Linked DNA regions of Callithrix jacchus. The protein of the gene in region 1 binds, or shares a complex with, the protein of each later gene. Links are inferred from orthologs where the notes say so. Each region holds a gene or a part of one and is shown in the gene's direction. Other genes may lie near its edges.

Evidence for each region. The genes of interacting proteins can lie anywhere in the genome.
Region 2: the proteins of KIFBP (region 1) and KIF15 are in contact, whole or in part, in a cryo-EM structure (PDB 6ZPH), measured with the Homo sapiens proteins. The link is inferred for Callithrix jacchus from reciprocal best matches to the Homo sapiens genes KIFBP and KIF15. Residues at the interface, in NP_056449.1 of Homo sapiens: Lys26, Tyr33, Lys36, Ile106, Glu109, Ile147, Ser150, Glu151, Glu153, Thr208, His209, Tyr212, Tyr213, Gln216, Gln219, His220, Phe224, Gln238, Glu248, Trp249, Ile251, Asn252, Thr255, Gln258, Phe259, Asn262, Tyr415, Val416, Thr417, Glu421; in NP_064627.1 of Homo sapiens: Leu187, Glu189, Ile191, Lys192, Lys193, Arg231, Glu232, Arg235, Arg271, Met280, Arg281, Leu282, Lys283, Glu284, Ala285, Gly286, Asn287, Asn289, Arg290, Leu292, Ser293, Gly296, Gln297, Ile299, Ala301, Val303, Asp304, Val305, Gly306, His312.
Region 3: the proteins of KIFBP (region 1) and KIF18A are in contact, whole or in part, in a cryo-EM structure (PDB 7RSI), measured with the Homo sapiens proteins. The link is inferred for Callithrix jacchus from reciprocal best matches to the Homo sapiens genes KIFBP and KIF18A. Residues at the interface, in NP_056449.1 of Homo sapiens: Ser150, Glu151, Tyr212, Tyr213, Gln216, His220, Gln238, Ile251, Asn252, Thr255, Gln258, Asn262, Gly414, Tyr415, Val459, Asp460, Leu461, Asn462, Pro463, Gln464, Leu467; in NP_112494.3 of Homo sapiens: Glu181, Thr183, Gln184, Lys185, Gly186, Arg274, Phe275, Val276, Glu277, Gly278, Thr279, Asn280, Ile281, Arg283, Ser284, Leu285, Leu288, Gly289, Val291, Ile292, Arg314, Lys317, Asp318, Gly322, Asn323.

The regions. Positions count from the first base shown.
Region 1 is NC_133513.1:61,063,363-61,069,595, reverse strand, and holds the end of KIFBP (KIF-binding protein), read left to right. Parts: intron 1-1,535; exon of another isoform or gene 1,536-2,398; intron 2,399-3,096; exon of another isoform or gene 3,097-3,120; intron 3,121-4,005; coding exon 4,006-4,881; 3' UTR 4,882-5,453; downstream 5,454-6,233. UniProt on the Homo sapiens protein: Activator of KIF1B plus-end-directed microtubule motor activity. Required for organization of axonal microtubules, and axonal outgrowth and maintenance during peripheral and central nervous system development.
Region 2 is NC_133516.1:27,560,959-27,567,191, forward strand, and holds part of KIF15 (kinesin-like protein KIF15), read left to right. Parts: intron 1-1,127; coding exon 1,128-1,251; intron 1,252-2,165; coding exon 2,166-2,242; intron 2,243-2,485; coding exon 2,486-2,695; intron 2,696-3,527; coding exon 3,528-3,705; intron 3,706-5,737; coding exon 5,738-5,879; intron 5,880-6,233. UniProt on the Homo sapiens protein: Plus-end directed kinesin-like motor enzyme involved in mitotic spindle assembly.
Region 3 is NC_133511.1:93,434,203-93,440,435, reverse strand, and holds part of KIF18A (kinesin-like protein KIF18A), read left to right. Parts: intron 1-2,849; coding exon 2,850-3,297; intron 3,298-4,003; coding exon 4,004-4,108; intron 4,109-6,233.

The DNA.
Region 1 (6,233 bases):
GTAAGTTGGAGATAATAGTTCTTACTTAATACTGTTGTTATGAGAGTTAAATCAGTATATATTAAGGCCTCTGAAAAGTGCCTGAGACATACTAAGTCCTTAATAAATGTTAACTATCATCATCATTATTAATTTATGCCCAATTCTAGTTCCTAACCAATAGGGAGGATAATAAAACTAATCATTTTGATGCAGTATACTAAGTGTGGATACATAGGAAGCTTTCCTGGGGGAATCATTGTGCTGCTGTTTTTCTTTGTGTGTATCAAAGCGTGATCATTTTTTTTTTTTTATTTTGTAGGACTCTGCTTCATAAAAGTGTAATGATCATTAGTGGTTGTATTAGTCTGTTCTCACACTGTTATAAAGAACTACCTGAGGCCAGGCGCAGCACCTCATACCTGTAATCCCAGCGCTTTGGGAGGCTAAGGTGGGCGGATCACTTGAGTTCATGAGTTTGAGACCAACCTGGGCAACATGTTGAAACCCTGTCTCTACCAAAAATACAAAAAAATTAGCCAGGCATGGTGGTGCGCACCTGTAGTCCCAGCTACTCAGGAGGCTGAGGCAGGAGAATCACTTGAGCTGGGAGGCAGAGGTCGCAGTGAGCCAAGATTGCGCCACTGCACTCCAGTCTGGGTGACAGAGTGAGGCCCTATCTCAAAAAAAAAAGTAATTTTCTTCATAAATTACCTAAAACTGGGTAATTTATGAAGAAAGGAGGTTAGTTGACTCCCATTTCCGCAGGTTTAACAGGAAGCATGACTGGGAGACTTCAGGAAACTCATAATCATGGCAGAAGGTGAAAGGGAAGGCATGTCTTACCATGGCAGAGCAGGAGAGAGAGAGAGCAAACCAGGAAATGCCACACACTTTAAACCCATCAGATCTTGTGAGAGAGCTCTGTCACTACCACAAGAACAGCAAGGAGGAAGTCTGCCCCCATGATCCAGTCACGTCCCACCAGGTCTCTCTGCCAATTTGACATGAGATTTGTTCAGGGACACAAATCCAGACCGTATCAGTGGTAAATAATGTAGAACTTTGTAAAACAAAAGAAAACTAAGCAAATAAACCTCAACACATCATCTTAGGTCTTGAAAAGATAAAGATCATTTTAGAGGCTAGTGGGTAAAGATGAGGCATATTAAGGAAAGACAGGCCTGGTGAGGTGGCTCTTGCCTGTAATCCCAGCACTTTGAGGGGCCAAGGCAGACGAATTACCTAAGGTCAGGAGACCGGCCTGGCCAACGTGGTGAAACCCCGTCTCTGCTGAAAATACAAAAATTAGCCAGGCATAGTGGCAGGTGCCTGTAATCCCAGCTACTCAGGAGGCTGAGGCAGGAGAATCGCTTGAACCAGGGAGGTGGAGGTTTCAGTGAGCCTAGATCATGCCATTACACTCCAGCCTGGGGACAAGAGCGAGACTTTGTCTCAAAAAAAACCAAAAAAACAAAATAGAAGAACTGTTGGGCTTTGTGTCTAGAGAATTTGGAGCCAGGAAGAACTGTCAGGTTTCTTCTCATCAGGTAAGGAAAACTGGAAGCAAAACAGGGACTATTGGAACAAAACAGTGGGCTAATTTAAGAAAGCATCCTAGAGAAAACAAGTAAATAAACAAGCAGCCCAGGAAGGAAGGAAGTATACAAAATTTAGAAACTTACGACCTACATTTGAAGTGACTGTATCAAGTAAAATGCACTGTGATTTGACCCTTATCTTTCATTTAGTTAATGCTTCTAGTCTAGGAACTTAGAACCTCATTACTTGATTAGTTTTAACTCACATATTTGCCATGCTACTAAATTACTCAGATTTTCCTTAAACTGATTTTTTTTTTGCATTATTTCATACTAGTTTATTTAGAGGTTCCGTTTTCACTCCTCAATAGATTTTATGTATTTCTTATATGCTTCTTCACTCATAAGTTCATCTAGTTCTGAAGGGTTACTCAGTGTCATCTTTATCAGCCAACCATCCTCATAACAAGATTTGTTTACATGTCCTGGATTTTCTGCAAGGGCTTCATTAATTTGAGTTACTTCTTCCGATAAAGGAGAATAGAGTTCACTAGCATCTTTCACAGTTTCCAAAGCATCAAATTCATCGTTTGTTCAATTTCGTGCCAACTTTAAGCTGACTACAGTAAACAATGTCTCCCAATGTTTCCTGTGCAAAATTGCTGATTCCCACTATTCCAATACCATTTTCTGTTGTTATCCATTCCTGTTTCTCTGTGAATTTACACACTGAGATCAGAGCGGGTCCCGTGCGCAGCATTGGGATGGCGCCTGCCCCCCAGCTGCCAGGACCAGGACCTTGGCAGGCAGGACGCTGCAGGTGACTGGACTGCGCACAGGGTGCAGAGAACGGCCCACACACTCCACACCACTCGCAGCTTTATGTTCGAAGGGGTACCCAGGTCGCAGCACTACGCCTCCACCACCCACGTGGAGAGGTGGGGCTGGGTGGGGCTGAATTTTGTTTTTTGAGTTGGGTTCTCTCTCACCTAGGCTGGAGTGCAGTGGCATGATCTCGGCTCACTGTAACCTCCACCTCTCTGGCTCAAGCGATCCTCCCACATCGGCCTGCCAAGTAACTGGGACCATCGGTGTGTGCCACTGTGCCTGGCTAATTCTTTGTATTTTTTTAGACCATGTTTCACTATGTTGCACAGGCTGATCTTAAACTCTTGAGCTCAAGCATCCACCCACATCGGCCTCCCAAAGTGCTGGGATTACTGGTGTGAGCCACTGCACTTGGCCCTGACTTTCTTATTTAACCTTAACTTCATTCTTTATCTATCTGTGTATTTATCTGAAAGGCCTTCTTCAGTTGAAGCTTAAAGACATACACAAATTTATTCAATTAAGTATTTATTTATGCCAACACTTTGCTAAATAAAAGTATCATTGGCCAAGGATACTATGATGAACAAAAATGGATTTAGCCTTTGACTTCATGTAAAAGTACAATTTTGTTAAGTTCCACAAAGGAGAGACACATGATATGAGAAGGCACAATAGGAGGAAATAAAAAGCAAGCTCTAGGGATGAGTGAGTAGGAGTTACCTAGACTGAAGAAAAGGAGGCACACCATTCCAAGGAGCTGAAACAGCATGTTTAGGAGTTCCCTAGCGTAAGGGAGGATGGTATCAGAAGGGATGGACCAAAGGCTTTGATGTTGGAGCTGGGGGAGAGGGAGTGTGATATAAGGTAAAGTTAGAGTTAGAAAGGGGTTGGAGCAATCAAGGCTTTGAAGCATTGTTGTCTTCATCTTTTGAACACTTAACCTTGAAGGGTTTGTGGAAAGATCACTAGTGAGACAATGTCAAGTGAAAAGAAGAAAAGGCCTTGGGATCTGTTATTTAATTTTATTGGCCAAGAAGAGCTTACTCTATTTTTTAACCATCTTAGTTCTTTTTTCTTTTCTTTTTTTAATTTGCTCCTCCTGCCAAAAGGCAGGGGAGATAAATAAAACTTTATGAAGTAGATTTAACTCTTTCTTCACTTTGATGTCTTTAAGAGACCTAGAGCATTTCTCTCTGATATATTTCATTAAAAGCTTAACAGCATAAACATGGTAGCATTAATCTTAATTGCATCCTTGTGAAATATTTTTATGTAGATTACAGTCTTATTACAATGTTAAAAAATAAATACTGTTAATATATCATGTGAATGTAATGTTTCACAATTTTCAAAGTACTTTTACATGTAACATTTATCTTACTGGAAGGAGTAACTGTAAATGAATTTCAGTTCCTTAGAATAAATTATATATAAGCAGCTTGTCTAATTTATTTAAATACTCTTTTTTCACATTTGCTGAGTTTTTAATATGATTGGAAGAAAGAAAGTAGTTTTCAAAGGTGTTTAAGATTATGATACCTCCCTAAACCAGGCTGGAAAGTAAGAGACTTTTCTTTACTCTGAAGTTTGCTTTAATATTTTTTAACAACAGGAGGTGAGCGTTCTACTTAACCATAATTTCTTTTTTCTTCAGGACAACATAGGAGAGCTTGACCTAGATAAACAGTCTGAACTTAGAGCTTTAAGGAAAAAAGAACTGGATGAGGAGGAAAGCATTCGGAAAAAAGCTGTGCAATTTGGAACTGGTGAACTGTGTGATGCCATCTCTGCAGTAGAAGAGAAAGTGAGCTACTTGAAACCTTTAGATTTTGAAGAAGCCAGAGAACTTTTCTTATTGGGTCAGCACTATGTCTTTGAGGCCAAACAGTTCTTTCAGATTGATGGTTATGTCACTGACCATATTGAAGTTGTCCAAGACCACAGTGCTCTGTTTAAGGTGCTTGCATTCTTTGAAACTGACATGGAGAGACGGTGCAAGATGCATAAACGCAGAATAGCCATGCTAGAGCCCCTAACTGTAGACCTGAATCCACAGTATTATCTGTTGGTCAACAGACAGATCCAGTTTGAAATTGCACATGCTTACTATGATATGATGGATTTGAAGGTCACCATTGCTGACAGGCTAAGGGATCCTGATTCACACATTGTAAAAAAAATAAATAATCTTAATAAGTCAGCATTGAAGTACTACCAGCTCTTCTTAGACTCCCTGAGAGACCCAAATAAAGTATTTCCTGAGCATATAGGGGAAGATGTTCTTCGCCCTGCCATGTTAGCGAAGTTTCGAGTTGCCAGTCTCTATGGCAAAATCATTACTATGGATCCCAAGAAAGAGCTGGAAAATCTGGCAACATCATTGGAACATTACAAATTTATTGTTGATTACTGTGAAAAGCATCCTGAGGCTGCCCAGGAAATAGAAGTTGAGCTAGAACTTAGTAAAGAGATGGTTAGTCTTCTCCCAGCAAAAATGGAGAGATTCAGAACCAAGATGGCCCTGACTTAATCCCTGCTTTTAAAGAAAGGAAATGCATAATGTTGAAGTGATCTTTTTCCCTAGTCAAACTGGCGCAATTCCATTGTGATGTTTACCTTTATAGCCAGTTGAGTGCAGTTTGAGCTTGAAATACAGTAAACTGAGTGTTTGCTAGGATCCTAAGGAACATAAAGTTAATTAATAATTTACACCTAATTATGTAAATTGCCTTGTTAAAGACATGTGATTTTTGTATTTTCGATGCTTGTTTCTATTTAAATATAAACCTTTTTAAATGTAGATTATTTGTTGGCTAGTACTTGATAGATTCCTTGTAAGAAAAAATGCTGGGTAATATACCTGGTAGTCAAGTCTGTTACTGTATTAAAATTGAAAAAGTAACTCTGTAGTTACTCTTTCTAAAATATTTGATTTCCTAAATTCCCCCCACTCAAAATCTTTCCCTTTTGAAAATACTAAAAACTAAGTTATGTTATTATAAAGTGTAAAATGGTTTGTCTCAATTATAGGAGCAAAAGGCCTTGTTGGAAAGAAAATAAACAGACTTATTTCACTAATAAAAACTTCCATTTCCCCTTTTATTTTCTTGTGAGCATTGGTTTTATTTTTTTGATACCTCAGAGATATTAGCATATTTGAAACTAGAGAGGAATATTTTTTCAATAACATTACAAAGTTAGAAAACATTAAAATATCATTCATGGCTGAGTGCGGTGGCTCATGCCTGTAATCCCAGCACTTTGGGAGGCTGAGGTGGGAGGATCACTTGAACCCATCTCGACAAAACATACAAAAATTAGATGGGGCATGATGCCACCTGCCTGTAATCCCAGCTTCTTGGGAGGCTAAAGTGGGAGGATTGCTTGAGCCCAGGAGGCCAAGGCTGCAGTAAACCATAATTGCCACTACACTCCAGCCTGGATGATAGTGAGATCCTGTCTCAAAAAATAAAAAAGTAAATAAAGTAAAAAGTAAAATAAAATATTATTCACTTAGTAAATGTTTACTGAGCTATTACTGTGTCCCAGGAAACTTTTATTGACTGTGATTTCTCATCAGGGGATCCTGGCATGTTTACAAACTTTTAAGCACTGTTGAGAAGGGATATATATGTTATGACTAAACCTTGGTGTTAGTCATTTTAAGAAATGCAGGATTAAAATAGAATTCCTCTTGGGTGTATTGTCAAGATCAGTTGTAACATTTAATACAGAGAATAGCTCTGGGTGTTAGCTTGCCTGTTAATTTGCTTCTGAAAGCTTAGGTCTGGATCAACGCTAAGGTTCTGTAACATTTATGTTAACATAAACATATGAACATCACCTTGCTTTCCCTTTGAGATCAATTTTCCAGGAAGAAAA
Region 2 (6,233 bases), on another chromosome or scaffold:
CTTTTGGCACTTGTTATCACCCTTTAGGTTTTGTTGACCTTTTTAAAACTTTATTTTTTTAGGCCAGGTGTGGTGGCTCAGGCCTGTAATCCCAGCACTTTGCGGGGCCGAGGCGGGTGGATCACCTGAGGTCGGGAGTTTGAGACCAGCCTGATCAACATGGAGAAACCCCGTCTCTACTAAAAATACAAAAAATTAGCTGGGCATGGTGGCGCATGCCTGTAATCCCAGCTACCCGGGAGGCTGAGGCAGGAGAATCGCTTGAATCCGGGAGGCAGAGGTTGTAGTGAGCCGAGATCACACCATTGCACTCCAGCCTGGGCAACAAGAGCGAAACTCTTGTCTCAAAAAAGAAAAAAATGTATTTTTTTAATTAATAAACTTTATAGCAGTTTTAGGTTCACTGCAAAATTGAACAGAACTTACAGAGAGATCCCATATATTCCCTGTCACCACACATGTGTGACCTCCCTCACTCCTGACATCCCCATAGTGGCACATTTTGTTTGGGAGCCCTTTAGCCTTTTAGGAGTTGTCTTAAAGAAGACATTTCTTTTAGAAAATGAAGGTATCATTTAGTGTGGTTAAAAAAAAAAAATGGAAGTGTCAAACCAACCCCTTCTTCCAAGAGGGTTATTAAAAAATAAAGGTTGGATTCCTCTGGGGAAGGTTGCTTCTGCCGAGCTCAAGCAAGCCCTGCATGTCACCACAGGCTTAGAGGCTTGGCTCCTTCCCCATAGGGAGCTAGGAAAGAGTGGAAATGATACTCATTAGGTGTTTGCTCTTCTCCATTGGGAGGGTGGGGAAAGGCTGTTGTTCTCAGGGAAGGAAGTGTTAGGTGAACACACCCGGATCCAAAGTGTGACCCAGCCTAACAGCTCAGGGCTGGTCAGCTGCAGGGAAGAGAGCTTGCCTGAGGCTGTCTCTGGTTCCAGATCTGAAGGCACAAGAAAAGGAATCTTCCTCCCCATTCGAACATACTGTAATTCCTGTGGCCTTTTGACTATTAGGTGGTCATGAAGTTTTGTTTGATGTTAATCACTACAAATCATACCAAGCAAATGTAAACACAGAACTCTACTACTCAAAAAGCATTATTTAATGCTTCTTAAAAAATTCTTGAACAGGCAGTAGTAAATGAAGACACCCAAGGAAATGTGAGCCAGCTCCAAGCTGAAGTAAAGAGGCTCAAAGAACAACTGGCTGAGCTTGCTTCAGGACGGACACCACCAGAAAGCTTCCTGACCAGAGGTACGATGAGTATGCTGGCCTTTATCTTGGGGAAGACTGTGTACAAATAATAGTTTAAGAGCCCTTGGTGATAGACACACACAGTAAGGCAGCACAGCTTTTTCCACGAGTATCTCTTTCTGCTTATTTCTCCTATGTAGGAACATAGTGCTTTGTTTGTAATCAGATACAGATACCATAGGCAGTGAGTTCTGTGAGATATGGTAGAAGGAGGAATTAAGATAATTTTTAATAATCCATAATAAGTACTAAAAAGAGATTCACTTAGATCTGCTTCTCCATAGCATATGTAATCTATATATGCTTACTATAAGACAAGAGAGAATTATTTTTCTTCAAAGAATAGCTAGTGGATAATTAAGTAACTGGAAATCCATAAAGCCAAGAGGGTGAATTATTAATAGATCTAAAGAGAAACTTATTTTTCTTTGAAGAACAACTAATATGTGGAATGATTAATTTGAAATCCATGATCTGGTGATGACAGTCTCTCTCTCTCTTTTTTTTTTTTTTTGAGATGGAGTCTCGCTGTGTTGCCCAGGCTGAAGTGTAGTGGCACAATCTTGGCTCATTGCTACTTCTGCCTCCTGGGCTTAAGTGGTTCTCCCGCCTCAGCCTCCTGAGTAGCTGGGACTACCAGCACACACCACCATGTCCAGCTAATTTTTATATTTTTAGTAGAGACAGGGTTTCACCATATTGGTCAGACTGGTCTCAAACTCCTGACCTCAAGTGATCCACCGGCCTCGGCCTCCTAAAGTGCTGGAATTACTGGCATGAGCCACCATGCCCGGCCACAGTCTCATTCTTTTAGATTAGTTGAGAGCAAGCAATTAACGGCTATCTGTTCTCTTGGTTTTGAAATGTGTTAAATATTTTTTTTCTTCTTCCCTTTCTTACTGGATCAATTACAGACAAAGAGAAGACTAACTATGTGGAATATTTCCGGGAAGCAATGCTATTCTTTATGAAATCTGAACAGGAAAAGAAGGTAGGAAATTGAATTAGTAATAAAGGAGATTCAGGATATTTGAGGTTTTCACTATGTGGTTTTAATTGCCTTACTAAGTGAAATAAATAATACCAAGTAAATAAAGAAAGTAATGGAAGGCCATGAGAAATCTAATTTTGTTTTTAAGATTAAATTTGAAGTTAGTATTTGTTGCTGGGCTTATAAAAATATAGGTAAGCTGAATTATTTTTCATGTTTAACCAAATTATGAATTTCTTTAAGTCTCTGATAGAAAAAGTTACCCAATTAGAAGACCTCACCCTCAAAAAGGAAAAATTTATTCAGTCTAATAAAATGATTGTGAAATTCCGAGAGGATCAAATAATACGCTTGGAAAAGCTTCACAAGGAATCCCGGGGAGCTTTTCTGCCTGAGGAGCAGGATCGTTTGCTCTCAGAATTAAGGGAAGAGATTCAAACTCTGCGAGAACAAGTGAGTATAGGGCATCTATAATATTTCTAAAAATAAAAGAAGTTCCAATGTAAATTTGTCACCAAGTCCTTGTTCTTTAATGCAATAGAAATTGTTGTAAATGAATTCTACTGACAGTGTGATTGCATAAATCCTTTACCTGCCTTTTCAAAATAGTTTTAAAGGGAAGAGTAGGGAAAAAGGAAGAATTTGTGGTGACGTCACTAGGTAGTATGCAACTCCAGCAGGCCATGCAGAATTTCACCCCATGGGCGGTTGTGGTTATCTGAGTCAGTTGCCTCTTTAGAGTTGTGCCTTTTAAATTTTTTGTCGTTTTTCCTTTTCCCTAGGAATGACGGATAGGTCATGCAGGTACATTGTGGAAAAAAACAAAATCTCTTCTCAGCTTATTTATCTCTCCAGAGTTTTAATGAACATTCAAACTAATATGGGTGGATGGATATTTTTACTTTTGTTTCTCCTATACATTTTTCTGTGCTTTGCTTTTTTCAGTTAATCTTGGTCAACAAGATTCATTTGGTCCTTGTTATTTTCGGTGTGTTGATTTAACTAGTCTCCTTTGCATGAAAAGCCTTCCATAATGTATACCCTTGTGCTTACCTCCTTAGGTGGGTGAACATTTCAAGGGTCTAGACGCCAAATGAGAATAGCAGAGTTACAAGACACGCATATTTTCAAACTCATCACAAATGCCAAGTTGCTTTCCACAGTGGTTGCAGAAGGGCACCACTAGCAGTGCATGTGCATACCTAGTTTTCTAATGGCTTTTTAGAGGAACTAATTCACTTAGGAAATGTAAATATATAATGCATGTTATTCTTCTGTGTCACAGATAGAGCACCATCCCAGAGTTGCCAAGTATGCTATGGAAAATCATTCCCTCAGGGAAGAGAACAGAAGACTGAAATTATTAGAGCCTGTGAAAAGAGCCCAAGAAATGGATGTCCAGACTATTGCAAAACTAGAAAAAGCTTTCTCTGAAATAAGTGGCATAGAGAAAAGTGACAAAAGTAAGAAATGATTGTTGTATATAAAGCCGTATAGGAATGGGCTGTTAAAGAGCATTTGTAGTACCTTGTGACTAGGGTCTTCATTTTAGCCTCCAGGCCTGCTGTGCTGATGTCTTATACACATATTCTTTTATTTTATAAAAAGGCATTTACTAAACTTTTTTTCCTCAAAAATCTCAGAGCATAAACTATGTAAGCTAATAGATATAACAAGAAAATACTCATTGTATTTCTGTTTTGTTGATAGAAATATCGATTCAGATAATACAAATTTTTATTAAATTTTCCTGTTTAAAGTATTTGAAATGAAAAGTGCTTAACTAATCAAACATGAAAAAACATAGAGTTTATCAATCCAGTTAGGTCCGTGCAATATAAGAGATGTAGAGAGGTCAGACTCATAATCCATCCAGTACAGCGTTTGGGTCCTGATGTTGTGGTACCAGTGTACTCACTCTGTTTTTACATGTTACTTTCATGAGTTTCACATACTATGTGAAAAGTGGTTTAGTTAGTACTAAATCTGCCTTATAGGCTTGACAGCTGTTGGTGTTAGTGCCCTGGGATTTAGTAACAAAGCCTGTGTTTGCCCAGTATTAGAGTTAATATTTCCATGGTATTTTATCATAGACTTGGCATTTGTTTCATTTTAGGTTGAAATTGAGAAAGTTCTAATCTTTTTTTTTTCTACATTCATAAAGAAGACTATCTCTTTGCTTTTTAAAATTTCATTTTTTTTAAACCGTCCATTCTGTTATGACTGAATAGAATAAGATTCAGAGTAACTGGGTTGGGGAAAGACTAAGATGTTAGATGCAGAATTACTATCAGGTTTTCTGTTTTTTTTTGAGCCATAGGTTTTCTGTTGTTTTTTGAGAAGGAGGTTTTCTGTTGTTTTTTCTCACTTTGTTGCCTAGGCTATAGTGCAATCTCTGCTCACTGCAACCTCTACCTCCTACGTTCAAGCGATTCTTTTGCGTCAGCCTCCCTCCTGGAATTACAGGCATACACCACCGTGCCGAGCCAATTTTTATATTTTTGGTAGAGATAGAGTTTTGCCATATTGGCTAGGCTGGTCTTGAACTTCTGGCCTCAAATGATCCACTGGCCTTGGCCTCCCAAAGTGCTGGGATTACAGGTGTGAGCCACCATGCCTCCCTTAGGTTTTCTGTTTTATTTAAACTACTTTTCCCTACAATGCCCTTTATTTTGTTGACCATTTTGTTTTGGGCCCTGTGGTACCTTGACTTACTCCTTTTAGAAGATACTAATGTCTGGATCTCATCAGTTTCTAAACATTTATCATTCTGTAAACAACTTTTACATGAGATTTCCCCACACTGCAACTCAGTGGACTCTCTTCAACATAGTCTTCTAAGCATTTTCTGAAAATTAATATTTTCTACCTGACACATGATACTGGGTTCTTACAACCTGCTGCCCTTGCTATATGTTACTTTTCTAAATAATTTCTTGGCTGTTAACATTAGCTGCTACTTATTCCTGCAAGATTCAATGGCTGCTGTTTCTCCAGCTAGTATTAAATGTGCCATACTTTTGTCATTGTTTGTTCATCCTCATAATGGAAAAGGTGTTGTCTTAACTATGCTTCTCCATCCTGTGGCTTCTGCTTCTTAAACATGACTTCTAATCCCCTTTGGCACACTGTGTCACATCCTGTGCCTTCTGCTTAGTTATAAGCTTTTATATTTTAGGGCTCACCTTCCAACCCACTTCTCATTTTTCCTCCTTGTGGCCCAAATTTTCCTCCTGTGACAGAGAACTTAGAAAATGTGTCCTGTTATTTTTCTTTTTCAAACACTGAAGTTGTAAAGATAGGGATGGTGGCATGCATCTGCAGTCCCAACTGCTTGGGAGGCTAAAGCAGGAAGATCACTTCAGACCAGAATTTGGGGCTTTACTACACTATGATCATGCTTGCGAATAGCCACTGCACTCTAGCCTGGGCAACATAGTGAGGCCCTGTCTTGGAAAAAAAAAAAAAAGACTTAGATTATTTTCTTATTAACAGATCAGCAAGGATTTTCTCCTAAAGCTCAGAAAGAGCCATGTTCATTTGCAAACACTGAGAAGTTAAAAGCACAACTCCTGCAAATTCAGACAGAGCTGAATAATTCAAAGCAAGAATATGAAGAATTCAAAGAACTTACTAGGTAAAGTCTAAATACACAAGCATGCACGCTGGTTTTCTTTTAGTGTTCACTTGTTGTAGTGTTAATATTGATCAGTTGGGCATTTTACTTTAAATATTAAACTCTCATAGTAGCAACTACTTGGTCATGAAGAAAAAGAGCATGCTTCTAGCTCTTTACTAATATATTTAATGCACTAGGTGTTTTAAGCAGATTTTTCCTGTTGAGATGTCTGTTGAACTTACATAGTAAATTATTTAAATTTAAATTTGTTAATCAGAGTTGGTAAGATTTTTAAGAAGTTTAGGTTTGTTAATATTCCTACTTGATTTTCATTATGTAAAAGCAAAAATAAATCACATTCATATTATAACT
Region 3 (6,233 bases), on another chromosome or scaffold:
AAACCGAAAGTGAGGCATTGTATGCAATATATTGTTCAGAGATAACAGTAAGTTAGTTATTCATTATTGGAAAGTAAATTACAACTTTTCCTGAAAAAGTTGTATTAATGCCCACACTGCTTAGTAAGTTGCCCAAGGTCACTCAGTGAGCTGTTGGTGGAGCCAGAAATAGAATCCAAGTCTCCTGACTCCCAATTCAGTCCTCTATCCTCCATGTAGTTTTCTATCCTCTATACCCCTGCTGCCTCTTGTGGGAAAAGAAGTTAATCTTCCAGCTATAAATAGCCACCAAATTGGTGATAGCAGCACAGTGGAGAAAAGTAACTGTCTTTACACTGTAGTATTAGTATAAAAATATCTGGTAGTGGAAAATTTGACAAATGTCATGTTAAAGGAAGTGGAAAATTATTTTAAGATCTGGATCTCATTTATCTAGTTCTCAGAAAAGTAAAATTCCTTAAAAGAACAGGGATCATATTTTTCTTCTGTTTTTAAATTTTATTTCCTAGAGGGTAATTATCAACCTAGCCATAGCAGAGCATATTGTCAAGTAATATAATAAGAATAATACATGTACTGTTGCTGATTGCTTTAGGTGTATTTTCTAACTTGGTTGAAAGTTTGAATTGCTTTATTGAAATGAGCAACACTTATTCTGCTTTCAATGTTCTTTAAGTTAGTATTATGTAGTAAAGTAAATATAACATCAACTGGGAATTTTACTTCATGATCAGACAGCATGAATGGAAATACACATAGTTTCTTCCATTGACAGTACACTCCAAAAAAAGTATTTTGTGTCAGACATCATGAAGTTCACCAGAATGAAGTAGGTAGAGAAAAGTTAATTGAAAAATTTAAGATAATCACACTGAAGTTGATCAACTGTATTGTTACATATGTCATTTATTATTTTGAACATTAATAAAAGGTGTTTACCAGATGCTCGTGTTTTTAAATGTTAAGTATTAAATACTAAATCTAATATTGTAAACAATTTGTTTCTTAATTTTGGAGCAAGGACCATGAATTCCCCAACTAAAAATAATAGCATATTTTGTTTCTGTTTAAAGGTTACTACAAAGTCTTTAATCAGAAGGATGACATAAACAAAATTATGTTTTAACTATAAGCATAAGAAAGACAGAAGTGAGGGCCGGGCATGGTGGCTCACGCCTGTAATCCCAGCACTTTGGGAGGCCGAGGCGGGTGGATCACAAGGTCAAGAGATCGAGACCATCCTGGTCAACAAGGTGAAACCCCATCTCTACTAAAAAGACAAAAAATTAGCTGGGCATGGTGGCGCGTGCCTGTAATCCCAGCTACTCAGGAGGCTGAGGCAGGAGAATTGCCTGAACCCAGGAGGTGGAGGTTGCGGTGAGCCAAGATCGCGCCATTGCACTCCAGCCTGGGTAACAAGAGCGAAACTCTTTCTCAAAAAAAAGAAAAAAGAAAGAAAGACAGATTGATAGAGATTGGGAAATGCAAGGGAAAAGGAAAAGAAAACAAAAATCTAGTAATTTGGAACCCAGGTGACAGAAGGTAATAATAAAAGTGTAATTAGAAATATGAGAAACTGTGGAACAAGACAACTAGAGAGTCAAGTACAGCTCCTTAGGGAAATGTGTACATTTACTGGATGGAAGAAGAAGAGAATAACACAGATGTTGAAATAGTAAAGATATAATTTTGAAAAGCTACAGAAGCTATTAGATACAGCTAAGAAAGATCATCAGACTTGGTGACCTCTTGACATTTAGGAGATTGACTTCTACAGAGTGGTGAGGGTAAAAGTACTCTGAACTCGGAGTTATTTCATTTATCTTTAGTATTAAATCTCATTTTTGCAAACCTATGAGTTGCGTATTATATAGGAGACAAATCAGTTAACTAGACTGCATAACTGACTATAGTTTTCTCTCAGTATCCTGGGGATAAGCACGTTGATTCCAGGAACCCATCCAGATACCAAAATCTATGAATGCTCAAGTCCCTTACATAGAATGGCATAGTATATAGGCTACACATATCCTTCTGTGTACTTTAAATCATCTCTAGATTACTTATAATACCTAATCCAATACAAATGCCATAAAATGGTTGTTATACTATATATTTTTATTTTTTTTTTTAATTTTGGTTTGTTTGTTTTCTGAATATTTTCAGTGTGCAGTTGGTTGAATCCACAGATGCAGAATCTGCAGCTACCCAGGGTTAACTCTGTATACCTGACACTTAACAAAAACAATCCTTTCATTCACTCAGAATTTTACTGGTTGTTTCCATTCTTGTTAATTTAGACTAGACTTCCACTCAATTAGTAATAAACTGACCACGGACACCCAAATACTAGCATCACCCAGTATTCTCATATAACAAACCTATGCATGTACCCTTGAATCTAAAAAACAAGACAAAAGTAATAAACTAATAACATTTTACGATGGAACAAGTGTTTAAAAAACAGTATTAAAAGTTGAATACTATTTTCATCTTAAACCCAAATCAAACATGAAAGCTAGGAATTATGAATTTTGTTGGAATTGAATGGAAATTTGTTCCCTAATTACCCAATATCTCAAGAAAGTTATGCCTATAAATTAATATTGACATTAGCAATGTATTTATTTTATGTTATAGAATTTCTTTATAATGAGTTTATCAACTTTATTTAAAGTTTTTAGTAGTTAACTATGATATTTTCCTTTCCAACTTATATTTTTCAGATTTTTATCAATTGCCATAAGAATACATTATTAGGGTTTGTTAGTTTTAAAACTAATGGAGTTATTTTTTAAAAACTAGGAAACATTATTGAGTGTCTTTTTTATTTTTTATTTTTTGAACAGGCACATCTTCAAGTGAATCTAATCTGCTTAAGATTCCTCCACAAAAAAGAACTCGGAGAAAACTAATGCCATCTCCCTTGAAAGGACAGCATACTGTAAAATCTCCATTATCTGAAAGTGTGCAGCTCAATGATTCTCTTTGTAAAGAACTTCAGCCTATTGTGTATACACCAGAAGACTGTAGAAAAACTTTTCAAAATCCATCTACAGTAACTTTAATAAAACCATCATCATTTACGACAAGTTTTCAGGCTATCAGCTCAAACATAAACAGTGGTAATTCTCTGAAAATGTTGTGTGAAGTAGCTATCCCTCATAACAGAAGAGAAGAATGTGGACAGGAGGTCTTGGACTCTACATTTACTATATGTGAAGACACCAAGAGCTTACAGTGTAAATTACCTGAACAAGAATCACTACTAAATGACAACAAAAACATTTTACAACGGTACAAAAAAAGTTTGCCAATTCTTTTTTTTTCTTAATGTAGACTTTCAACTATTAGTTGAGATTATTTGATAAACCACATGTGCTATTTTGATTATAAAACAGTCTGTTTTACTTTCATTAAATTTTAATTATTTTTCTCTCTGAATATTAACTCACTAACACAATATTTTAAAGTCTTAAATTTGATATCTTAAGTCAATTGACCCTCATTAGACTACCAGAGACCTTAAGATATATGTTAGTTTGTTCTCTTACCCTGAAATTGGGTTATAAAAGCTGTCATTGGCAGCTTATTATGTTTATTTATTAATATTTTCACTGAAGGAAATTCCACACTTTCTATTAAAAACTCATCTTACTCTGAAATAGTCATATCGCTAAAGTATGGTTGAATGTGTGTCATCCAAGCAAACATATCCTTCTCACTTTATCTGTATAATCATGCCCAATCTAAATATCGAAAGAAAAATACCTTCACTATTCTATGCCATTGGGAATGAAGAAATCTCTTGATAGCAACTTTACGTATATTAAAAAGAGAAAAGAAAACCCCAGTCAAGCAAGAAAATCTGTATGGTATAGCAGAATGTTTTTCTTTATATATTAATAACAAATAGTTTTCTAATTATGGTAATGTTTGCTTCCTTTTTTCTTCATAGTTTAAATCAAAATTATTATATTTTATTTGTCACTTTGATATACAGGCTTGACCCTTCATTCTCATCTAAGCAGTCTATGCCTATACGAAGCATGGTGCCATCCTACATGGCAATGACTGCTGCTGCCAAAAGGAAACGGAAATTAGCAAGGTATGATTAAACATAAACTGGATGGGTTTCTATAGTTATATAAGATCATCTTTATATGTTGTTTTCTGTTGCTTTTTTATTTTTTGTAATTAGACTCAATTCATATTTAAGCATACTTGGGATAAATTGCCCTGAATGGGGTACTGGATTTATATTATCAAAGGAAGATCTTGAAAAACTCAAGTATTTCACTTGATATTTATATAAAGTATTTCATATTTCTGAGTTTTACAAATAAAAAGTTTTCTAGCTTTCAAAAACTACTTAATTTTAACTTTTCAGGGCTGACAGTTTTTACTTATTTGTATTATCCTTTCTAAACATTACCAAATTTCTTCCATCTTAGAATTATGTTATTTTAATGGCTTATGATATGTGACTAATATATAATGAATGAAGAGACTTTTACTTCTTCCTAAGACAATTTAGCTTTTATCAGACCAAGTTGCTCAGCAAGAACAATTATTAGGAGTACGTAAAATAGAACCAACAGCTGCTTGAAGGCAATGGAGAACAACCATGGTAGCCAGGATTGAGAGACTAAGATCCCAGAGAAAAAGGAAACATGCTATAGACAGCCAGACTTTCTCTGCCTCTTTTTTTTATTTAGCATTTGCCAATTTATGGCATAAGGCATAGAGGCCAAACAGAAAATGGAAACTTAGAGCTATCAGCAGTGTTACTGAGCTAGGGAAACAACTGTTCTGTGCGGTTTTTATCCCCAAGGCATTTGCCAAGTTCTCAGCTTTGTGGAATGCAAGGCTAAGCCACCAAGCTGAAAGTAGCTGCTAAGAAGCTAAAGCAAACAGAACACACTGCCATGTGTGTACCTATGCAACTGTATTGCATGCTCTGCACATGTACCCCAAAACCTAAAATGCAATAAAAAAATAAGAAAATAAATAAATAAATAAATAAATATATACCTATTGATTAAATATAAAAAAAAAAAGAAGCTAAAGTATTAAGCAGAGTTTTGACATTCTTATGAAGCTTTCACAGAAAAATTGGAGTTCGGGGACTACCATAAACAAGAGGCCCTGAAGGGTGTTTCAGCTAGAAGTAGGGCAAACTAGAAATAGGCCAGTTCTTGGAAGTCTGAAACGGACCTTAGACCAACTCAATTCTTGATTGGATCAAGGTGATTTATCTTGGCTCTGCTTGCCACAGGAAAATTAAATTATCTCTGGAAGAATATACCATCTGGAACCTCTATAGTTTTTTTTATATCAATGTTTCACACTTAAACAAAAATTACAAAGTATGCCAGGAGACAGGACCAAATGACTAAAATTTAAGAGAAAAAAAAAAATCATAGGAGCAGTGATTCATACGTGAGGCAGATACTGGGATTATCAGATAGGAATTTAAAATTTTAACTGTAATAATTTCAACAAATACATTCTTTCCCAAAGAACCAGACTCTCTTAAAATTAATCAAATGGATATTCTAGAACTGAAAATACAGAATTTACTGAGATTAAGAACTCAATACATCAATTTAGCAGATTAGGTACAGCAGAAGAGAGTAATAGTGAACCGAAAGATAGATTTGTTTTTAATTTTTGTAAGTACATAGTAGGTGTATGTATTATGGGGTGCCTGAGATATTTTGATACAAGTATACAATGTGTAATAATCACATCAGTGTAAATGTGGTATCTATCACCTCAAAGATTTATCCTTTGTGTTATAAACAATCTAATTATACTTAGTTATTTTTTAAAGGTACAATACATTATTGTTGACTATAGTCACCCTGTTGCGCTATCAAATGCTAGATATTATTCATTAGATTGCTTAATTAACCATCTCCCCAGTCTCCAGCAACCGTCACAGTAACCATCTTCCCCAGTCTTCCGAAAAACCCTTCCCAGCCTCTGGTAACTATCATTCTACTCTTTTTCTCCATGAGTTCAATTTATTTAATTTTTAACTTCCCCAAAATGAGTGAGAACATGCCAAGTTTGTCTTTCTGTACATGGCTTATTTCACTTAATATAATTACCACCAGTTCCATCCATGTTGTTGCAAATGACCAGGTCTCATTTTTGTTTCACAGCGGAATAGTATTTAATTGTGTATACATACCATATTTTCTTTATTTATTTGTTGATGGGCACTT